Linked DNA regions of Kluyveromyces lactis. The protein of the gene in region 1 purifies or fractionates together with the protein of each later gene. This does not show direct contact. Links are inferred from orthologs where the notes say so. Each region holds a gene or a part of one and is shown in the gene's direction. Other genes may lie near its edges.

Evidence for each region.
Region 2: the proteins of TLG2 (region 1) and VPS54 purify together in Saccharomyces cerevisiae (affinity purification with western blotting, with the first as the bait; 3 studies listed by BioGRID). This does not show direct contact. The link is inferred for Kluyveromyces lactis from reciprocal best matches to the Saccharomyces cerevisiae genes TLG2 and VPS54.
Region 3: the proteins of TLG2 (region 1) and SEC17 purify together in Saccharomyces cerevisiae (affinity purification with western blotting; 3 studies listed by BioGRID, with this or other methods). This does not show direct contact. The link is inferred for Kluyveromyces lactis from reciprocal best matches to the Saccharomyces cerevisiae genes TLG2 and SEC17.

What each region holds. Positions count from the first base shown.
Region 1 is NC_006037.1:927,132-930,272, forward strand, and holds TLG2 (t-SNARE syntaxin TLG2), read left to right. Parts: upstream 1-1,431; coding exon 1,432-2,526; downstream 2,527-3,141. Other genes in the region: ATP-dependent RNA helicase FAL1, read right to left, coding at 1-1,124; KLLA0_A10703g (uncharacterized protein), read right to left, coding at 2,746-3,141. UniProt on the Saccharomyces cerevisiae protein: t-SNARE that functions in transport from the endosome to the late Golgi and on the endocytic pathway.
Region 2 is NC_006042.1:415,058-418,823, forward strand, and holds VPS54 (Vps54p), read left to right. Parts: upstream 1-1,056; coding exon 1,057-3,597; downstream 3,598-3,766. Other genes in the region: RPI1 (protein phosphatase regulator REG1), read left to right, coding at 1-661. UniProt on the Saccharomyces cerevisiae protein: Involved in retrograde transport from early and late endosomes to late Golgi by linking the vesicle through the t-SNARE TGL1 to the Golgi, leading to the membrane fusion between late Golgi and endosomal vesicles.
Region 3 is NC_006041.1:529,621-532,245, reverse strand, and holds SEC17 (alpha-soluble NSF attachment protein SEC17), read left to right. Parts: upstream 1-951; coding exon 952-981; intron 982-1,203; coding exon 1,204-2,052; downstream 2,053-2,625. Other genes in the region: RPL43B (60S ribosomal protein eL43), read left to right, coding at 294-570. UniProt on the Saccharomyces cerevisiae protein: SNARE complex protein that binds to cis-SNARE complexes on membranes and is required for vesicular transport between the endoplasmic reticulum and the Golgi apparatus and for homotypic vacuole fusion.

The sequences.
Region 1 (3,141 bases):
TTGGGTCTTTCCTCCTTCGTGATGAAATTTATTGCAACACCTTTACGTCCAAACCGTCCGGATCTACCAATACGATGGATATAGTTCTCTAGATTATCTGGTATATCGTAGTTTATCACCAATGAGATCTGCTGGACATCGATACCACGAGCCCACACGTCTGTCGATATTAGCACCCTGGCTTTTCCACTCCTGAAATCATTCATCACTTGATCACGTTCTTCCTGTTTCATGTCACCGTGCATTGAGGACACAGAGAAATTCGTCTGTGTCAACTTCCTGGATAACCAATCCACTTTTTTCCTTGTATTACAGAATATCACACATTGTGTTATCGTTAACGAATCGTATAGATCACAGAGTGTATCAAACTTCCATTCTTCCTTTTCTACATCCACATAATATTGCTTTATCACGTCCAAGGATATCTCATCCCGCTTAACCAATATCTTCACCGGGTCACTCATGAACTTCTTGGTGATCTCTAATATATCTTTACTCATTGTAGCACTTACCACCACGACTTGAATCGTCGGTGGTAACTTGGTGAAAATGTCGTAGATTTGTTGTTTAAACCCCAAAGTTTCTCCGAGTAGTTCATCTGCTTCATCGAGAACTAAGATCTTACAGTTTCTAACGTTCAATACTTGTCTCTTGATCATATCTAGTACACGGCCCGGTGTACCACTGACCACTTGACAATTTTTCGATACTTTCTTGATATCTTGTTGTAAGGCCTTACCTCCTGTGCACGCATGTGCTGTAACGTTCAAATAGTCTCCTAGGTTAGATATCACAGATTCACTTTGACTCGCTAGTTCTCTTGTTGGTGATAAGACCAATGCTTGTAACTCTTTGCTCTTAGAATCAATTGCTTGTAATAATCCAATGGTAAATGTGGCCGTCTTACCGGTACCAGACTGTGCCTGGGCAATCACATCTTTTCCTGAGATAATCTGAGAAATGGCTCTAGACTGAATGGATGATGGATATTCAAAGCCGTAAAAATATATGCCTCGTAACAAATCCGGTTTCAAGTTCATCGACTCAAAAGTGGCAGATACCTTGAGCTTCTTTGAAGTCTTAAACTTCAACTTCGAGTCATCATCTCTGTTGAACGACATTGTTGATGTGATGATTCCCTTTCTTAACAACAGTAACTCCCGGTTACACTTCACTTGGACCTACCGTTGCAGCCTCTATTTCAATGCATCTCATCGCATCTCATCTTATCGTTGTGCTTGCCAAATTTTCCATTTTTTAAAGGTTTTAAGCTGAGAACCGAAAGTTCAACAACACTTTAAGGTGTCAAATTACAAGTGTATGTAAATAACTGCAGAACAACTGGTCGAGTGGCTCGATCTAGTGATTATTTAGATCAGATTAGTGGTAGTGCGTGCTTTCTTCCCTTGTTTGCTTTTGAACTGCACCATGTTTCGTGATAGAACTAATTTGTTTTTATCCTATAGGAGAACTTTCCCCCATCAGAGGCTTTCGAGTACCAAGCATCTACGATCGAATAAAGATTTGGAGAACCAGCCATTCATTGGTAGTGACGATGGTAACAATGATGAAGATATGGTTGCTATGGATGATTTCTCCCGTCAATTACCGCCAAAATTTTTCGATTTAACGTTCCAAGTGGATGAGTCGTTATCTGCAGTAGATCAATTGTTGCTACAGTTGACGAAACTATATCAAAAGAACTCTTTACCAGGATTCCAGGACAATAAGCAGGATGAGGAGGAGATTGAGCAGATAAGTTTCCAGGTAATTAAGAGATTCCAAGAATGTTTTGGTGTTATCAAGACTCTTACGAGAATTAAGGATTCTCAATATTCGAATGGTAAGCAGCTAAGCAAGGACGAGTTAAGGATATTGGATAACCTAGAAAAGAACTACGCTTTGAAAGTGCAAGACAAATCGCAGAAGTTCAGAATATTACAGAATAATCATTTGAAGTTTTTGAATAAAGATGATTTCAAACCACTACCCACTACGAAATCAAGTAACGATACATTGATGTTGTTGGAGGAAGAAGTTGAAGGAGATGAAGTCAATAACATCGACTCATATTCAAAGCAGACTTTACAAAAACAGAATCAGAAGTTACAGGATAACAATCAGCAATTTTTGCAACAAAGAGATGAGGAAATTACACAGTTAGCGAAAGGTGTACTCGAAGTTAGTACTATTTTCAGGGAAATGCAGTCTTTGATCATAGATCAAGGTACAGTGGTCGATAGGATCGATTATAACTTAGAAAACACGGTTATTGAATTAAAGCAGGCCCAAAAGGAGTTAGACAAGGCAACGCACTACCAAAAACGGAGTCAAAAATGTAAAATTATTCTATTTCTATCTTTGGTCGTTCTAGCGTTATTCCTCCTTGTCATGCTGAAACCTCATCACCATACTATACGAGAATCAGCTCCTTCAAAATCTCACAAACCTCCTGGATCACAAGTGGAGGTCAATTCTCCTAATGGAGACCCGTTGCTGGATCCAGAAAGTAATGTAGAATAAAAATGGTCAAATATTAATGAACTTGCTTATGATGGAGAAACTGCATCGAACTTCGAAAACAAATTTTGATATCGTGATAGAAGTAAACGACCACTGTCGAATTGGTAACAGTAGAAAGGTTCAAAAAAGTTAACTAGAGAGGAGGTCTATATATTATCTGTTACAGTAAATAGAATAAATTTGTTTAAAAAGTGAGTGGTTTCAGTATGAATATTACAATCAGAACTTAAAATGCTCCATAGGGACTGTCTCTTGACATGGATGCAGAGGTAGGTTATTTTTTCTTGGGAGCCTTTTCCTATAAGCAGGTTTATAGTGCATTGAAGATGCTGGTGCGGAGTTTAGCCCTGCACTCCTTTGGCTATTTCCGTATGATGCTGGACCAGTTCCGATGGAGAATTCAGGGTTTGATTGTAATAAGAAATCTGATGCAGACGGACCAGCCGAATACGGAGGTTGTGGTTGTTGTGGTTGTTGTTGCTGTACTGGTAGTGGCGGAGGGTGGTAGTATCCTTGTTGCGGACCTGCTTGGTTAGGAAGTGGAGGGTAATACTGTCCCCCGACAACTGGCGGTTGCGTAGGATGCATACCATTTGGAACCATTCCTTGAGCCAT
Region 2 (3,766 bases), on another chromosome or scaffold:
TATTAAACCACTTCCAGCCACTACTCTAAACTACGGATCTGACGATGAATATTATGATGAAGACGAAAATGAATGGTATTATGGTAACGCAGTATCACACAATGTGAATACTAGCAGAGGATTTGACTACATGTATGATTATAATTCCGTTTACACGGGGGATACATCCAACTTTGTAACTGTGGACAATTCGTGTGATATCCTCGATGTACCGGATGGCATTGGATTAGATACTCCAATACAGGACGCGAATGACGGATATATGGATGATGACTCAAGAGGGAAAATATATACATACCATCAAAGCCTTCCGGTACAAGATGATAACGATGAACATCCGGACAACGAATTCATCGCAGATTCTTCCCAACCTGGTTTCAGTCATGATGACGAAGAGCATGACGATAACGGTGAAGAACTAGAGCTTACTGCAAAAGACCCACTATCATTAAGGCGAACCTCATCTATAGGGAAGTCTAGAGCAAATTCCATTCATGATTTTATCACACCTTCCAATTCTGCATCTCCTGTTTTAAAACAGACACATAGCTTCATCACTGGAGAACCTTTATCTCAACACAATTCGACGGTAAGAAGACCACCATTAAAATCTCCTTCATCGGGTAGCTTTTTATTTGGATCTGATTCTGATTCTGAGTGATCGCTCAAGTGCTCTTAGGTATATTCGGAGTTCATTTTTTTTATTGAGGTTAAACTTAAAAATACCACTCTACCAGCATATATATTTTTTTTTCACTACGTAAATAGTATTAATTAGAAGAACAACAATTTTTCTTGGTTTTATCCATCTGCGTAGATCTCTCGCTCAGCGCTTAATGCTTCTATTGATTAACTTGCTACGGTGTTTTATTTATGTTGAGAGAGTGCGCTTAATTATATACTCAAACTACCATGTTCACTTTCTTTTAGAAGTATCATTGAATATGTAAAAACTGAAAATCGATTAAAGTTCATATTGTAAACAGATACATACACCTTTAAGATGCATAGCAAAGAAAAAGCTGTTCCAACAGACTATAAACCAGCGAGTTAACTATGCCGGATAGGTTACTGGGAAGTGAGACACCAGCTCTATCTCTAACTCCTGATAGTAGGACGCAATTAAGTCGATCTCCACTATTGGTGCCCAGTCATGCCTCAGATGATGCTAGCTCGTTGAACGATGATCTATCTGTATTATCTAGAAACAGGGATCAAATAAGGGACAGTATGTCTATGAGGCGTAGTAGTTTTGATTCCACATTCAATTCTTTTTCTACAACGATGCATACCCAAAAACACGGTCTTGATTATTCACCGTTGGTTGATAATTCAATATATGAAATTGTGATGAACACCAGATTTAAAAGATGGTTGCGGCACCCAACCACCGAGGATATTCCCCCTGTAGTTCTAAGCAAGAACGATATTAAGGATAAATGGGACAAGGATATTAATCAATACAGAGATGACATTAAAGACGAATATAGGGTGTATCAATCGACAAATAATATATCAAAGTTGAACCGAATGGAGCAAATGAGATCTATTGATCATGATAAAACTGCCCTTGGATTGCAAAATACGAAAGCCAAGGCATTTGAAGAAATACCTGAATTCTATTTTGATAAGGAGTTCAAATTAGATCACCCCAATTTCTTTCGAATGCTTCTACGAGATTTTGAGTTTGATGCCAATCAACTACTAAATGATGATGATAAAGTTAGAAATGACAGCTATGAAGAGCTTCAAGGAAGATTGGCATTCTACTTAGATACTGTTGAGGGACTCCTTGTTTCTGAAATCTCCAAGTCTATACAAAGCTTTTTTGACGCTTTGGAAGACGTCGATAAGATTAGAGAAAATGCGACAGAGACAATCAACGAGTTGGATTCTGCTGCTGAGGCCCTTGAGAGGATAAATGGGGATAAAATCTCAAAAAGAATTGAGATGATTAAAGATCTCATAAGAAGGAAAAATGTGGAAAAGTTACAACAGGGGATCCTACAAGTAAAACTAGCGAAAGAAAAATGTGAAGAATGTAAAGAAATATATCAAGAAGAAAAACTACAAGAGTGTTTGAAATTGGTTAAAGCAGTTGAGAACTTAATAAATGGTGACAATGATGATCCCACTGTCAATGATTGGACCTCTCAGTGGCCGTACAAACTCACAAACATCTCAAGTTTTTCTAGTTTACAGGGCATAATAGACATGCTAAATAATCTGAAGGTTGACATCGGGGGATCTTACTCATTGAGTCTGGTTACCGTACTATTGGAAGATTTGAGGACGTATTCGAAGTCTCAATCGAAAAATGACACGATCATCAAATTGCAATCTAGGAAGGATAAGAACAAACCTCATTTAAAGATCGATGAGACCTTCCGAAAGCAAATCAAAGAAAATCTAATACAATTAATCGATTGTGATCAGTTGGTTCCGGCAGTGAAGCTATACGAGGATAAATTTATAGCAGAGTTGAAATCTGTTATTAAGGTTAATCTACCGCATGAGAGACAAACACCTGAAGAGTCGAAAGATGGCTCTAAACCAACTGCCGCCAATGGGTCAAGGCTATCAAAGTTGATTCAAGAACAATCATCTCAAGAGTTCCAATCAATGCTTGTAAATATATTCACTTCTGAAATCGAACTATTGAAGAGGTTAACGCGGCATCAGAAAATGCTATTAGACATTTCGCTAAGTGAATTACCGACAACGGCAGAGCAATCTGATAAGATGATTATTGATCTTGATATTCGGAAAAGCGTTAACGAGGGTATAAGGATAGTACAGCTTCGAATGGGGAAAATAATCTCAGTGAGACGGGATATCACATGTACATTACGTTTCGATCATTTCCTTCAGTTCTACGAGATATGCATGCTTTTCATGAGAGAGTGTGAATCTATAAGCGGTGAATTTCTAACGAAGTATCTTTCTGACGTATTGAACCTCCAAATCGATACATATTTGAAATCTTTACAAAATTTGAACATAAGGGTTTTGAAACAAAAGATCGATGTAGAGAGATGGACACCATTCATCGTCGAGCCCGAATTGCAAAAGGATGTCAATGATATTGTATCGTGTATTGACATTGATCCGTCAAATTGGACACGATTCATCGAGTTGAACAAACCTTCTCCATTAGACGAAACAAAGGATGAGAAGCAATCCTCTACCGGTCACAAAAAATCCGTTGTCTTAGGTGATAAGACATTCGTGGCAAGCGAGGCTCTAATCCTTGCCATCAAAATGATCAAAACTTTATTGGTACTCGCCTCAAACTTCCCATCACAGTATGCAAGACATTGCGAACGTCAATTGTCCGATGTCTTGAAATTCTTCAATACAAAGGCAATAGAATCTATATCATCATCACTGACAGACAGACTATCTACAAAGACAGATAAAAACTTGAATATCATGGCCGAATCACTTGATTGTCTAGCGGAAATAACGCTACTACTACAAGGGTATTTCCAACGTACGCTGGGATCTAAGACAGATAAGTACGAAAACATCTGGAAACAATTACAACAGTCCAGTGAGAAATTGTTCCAAACAAACAATATCCCGCCTCCTGTTTAAGACAAGTACTACCCATCGGGTAAACAGTTCACTGCGCATGATAGAATAGGTGATATCTCAGTTGTACTGAATATTTATGCATATATATTAGCAATATGAATCACGTGATAGTGTGGACTCACTATATGCGTCTGTGTATGTATCGTTACCCTGCTTTCCGTATAATATG
Region 3 (2,625 bases), on another chromosome or scaffold:
GTAACTGGAATTATACCATAAGCACAAGAAACTACAGCTAGATGCAAAATTCCAGTGTGATGATTTATAGTGTCAGCTCCACACGCACGACAGCAGAATAAATGACGATCTATTAGACCTCCTCCCCCAAAAAAACTGTTGTTCCTTTAATTGCAACAATTTTACTAACTTTTATATCTGTGTTATTACCCATTCTACCTGTGGTATCGATTCATTACCACCCATTATGTGAACAAATTGAATCGAACTATTGGAATCGGACGTAATGAATACACAATTCATTTTATATTCAGGGCTAAAAGAACTAAGAAGGTTGGTATCACTGGTAAGTACGGTGTCCGTTACGGTTCCTCTTTGAGAAGACAAGTTAAGAAGTTGGAAGTTCAACAACACGCCACTTATAACTGTTCTTTCTGTGGTAAGACTTGTGTTAAGAGAGGTGCTGCTGGTGTCTGGTCTTGTTCTTCTTGTAACAGAACCATCGCTGGTGGTGCTTACACTTTGTCTACCGCCGCTGCCGCTACCGTCAGATCTACCATCAGAAGATTGAGAGACATGGCTGAAGCTTAAGCTTGTTGCATCGTATAATCATGTTATAAGTATCCTTCAATAAAACGTATCTTTCCACTTTGTGTTATTTTATATTCCATCTACCCTATATAACTGATTTAGGCGTGATGGTCGAGTGTTCATCCTCGCGTCCAGCCAAATACCTTGGACCGGCTCCCAGGCCAGCCTATTTGAAAGTCACGTGAATTAATTACCCGGCTGCTGATAGCCTTCCGTTGTTTCTCCCCTTAAGGAATTTCTTTACTTTCTGATGGTAATTAGAATATGTAACATGTAATGATGATACAATGTTGATAGTTTGATAGTAAAAGTTGTAAGCAAGCTCTTGGTTGACAAAAGTTAACAGCATTCAGCCATATCCCACTCAGGTTTTCTTTGAATATGTCGGATGTTAAAGAAATTATAGCTAAGGTACGTTTTTTCTCCATCATTTATGTTGAAAGGTCAAATCAATAAGTCTAGGAAAGTATGATGACAATGGTTGACCTTATTCTCGCCTGAACCCCTAATACTAACAATAAACATATGCAAACCCTAGCCATAATGTGATGAAAGAGGAAGTGATTTATCATTCGTATTCTCTCTTTTTCACTTAATGGTATGGAAACATATCTCATGTCATTTTTGTAATAGGCCGAAAAGAAGGCTAAACCATCATCAGGATTTTTCAGTTTCCTTAGCGGTTCAGACTCTTACCGTTACGAAGAAGCAGCAGATCTTTATATCGAGGCTGCAAACCTCTATAGGCTAAGAAAGGAGTTGGATCAAGCGGGTGATACTTTCTTGAGGGCAGCAGAGTGTCAAATACAGGCTTCTAATGAAGATGAAGCAGGAAATACGTATATCGAAGCCTACAAGTGTTTCAAGACAGGATCTTCTCCAGCACAAGCTGCTGAGTCCTTAGCCAAGTCGATAGATATTTTCACAAGAAGAGGTCAGTTTAGAAGAGGTGCCAACTTCAAATTCGAATTGGCTGAATTACAAGAACAGCAATTACAGGATTACCCAAGTGCCATTGCCAATTATGAAACAGCTGGTGATTGGTATTTGCAAGACCAAGCTATTGCTCTCTCGAATAAATCCTACATTAAATGCGCCGATTTGAAAGCTTTGAACGGTGATTATTTGGAAGCTACCGAGATCTTAAAGAAAGTCGTTGAAAATTCATTGGGGAATAAATTAAGCCAGTGGTCGCTCAAAGAGTACTTATTGAAGATTGGCCTATGTTACCTTGCTGCTGGTGATGTTGTAGCTGCAGATAAAAGTTTGAACGAATCACAATCGTTGGATCCATCATTCTCTCAATCAAGGGAGTTTGAGTTACTATCAAACGTAATTGAAGCTGTAAGGGAAGGTGATACTGAAAAATTATCGCAAAAGATCTACGAATATGATAGGTTCAATAAGTTAGACCATTGGAAAACAACTATACTCTTGAAGGTGAAAAATACAATCGTCGAGGCGGATGACGATCTACTATAAAATGGTAATATTCAACTCATTCTCTTGTAATTGTATTCTTTTCTCTAACACAACTGTCACTTTTTTGGTGGAATAATTATTTTATAAATGGTGTATACCCATTTGTACAACCACATCGAGTGGTTTGTTTCACGTTAACGTCTTTCATTTCCCATTATCAACTATATCGATGCAAATAAGCTTGCCATCTGGCTTGGACGTTTGGAAATTTTGAAGATGTTAATGGTAACGAAAATGTTTTTTAAGCTTCTGACGAACGGCTCCCTTACCGTTTTGAATAAATATACAATTAAGTAAGAAATGTATCACAATTTTTTACATCTTCTTACGGTAAGAAACAAACCTAATATTTCAGAATGCTGGTACAATTTTTAATGAATATGATGATACTTCCTCAGCAAATCTACTAGATGAGCCTACGCAAAAGGCAGTTGATTGATAATATCACTAGATGAATGAAAACACATCAACTGAGGGGTAACATGATCTCTAAAACGTTCAGATAAGAGGACCCTTTCGCATCTTTCCGTAAAAAAAGTATGCAAGTGTAAGAAAAGAAATCAAAAGAATGAA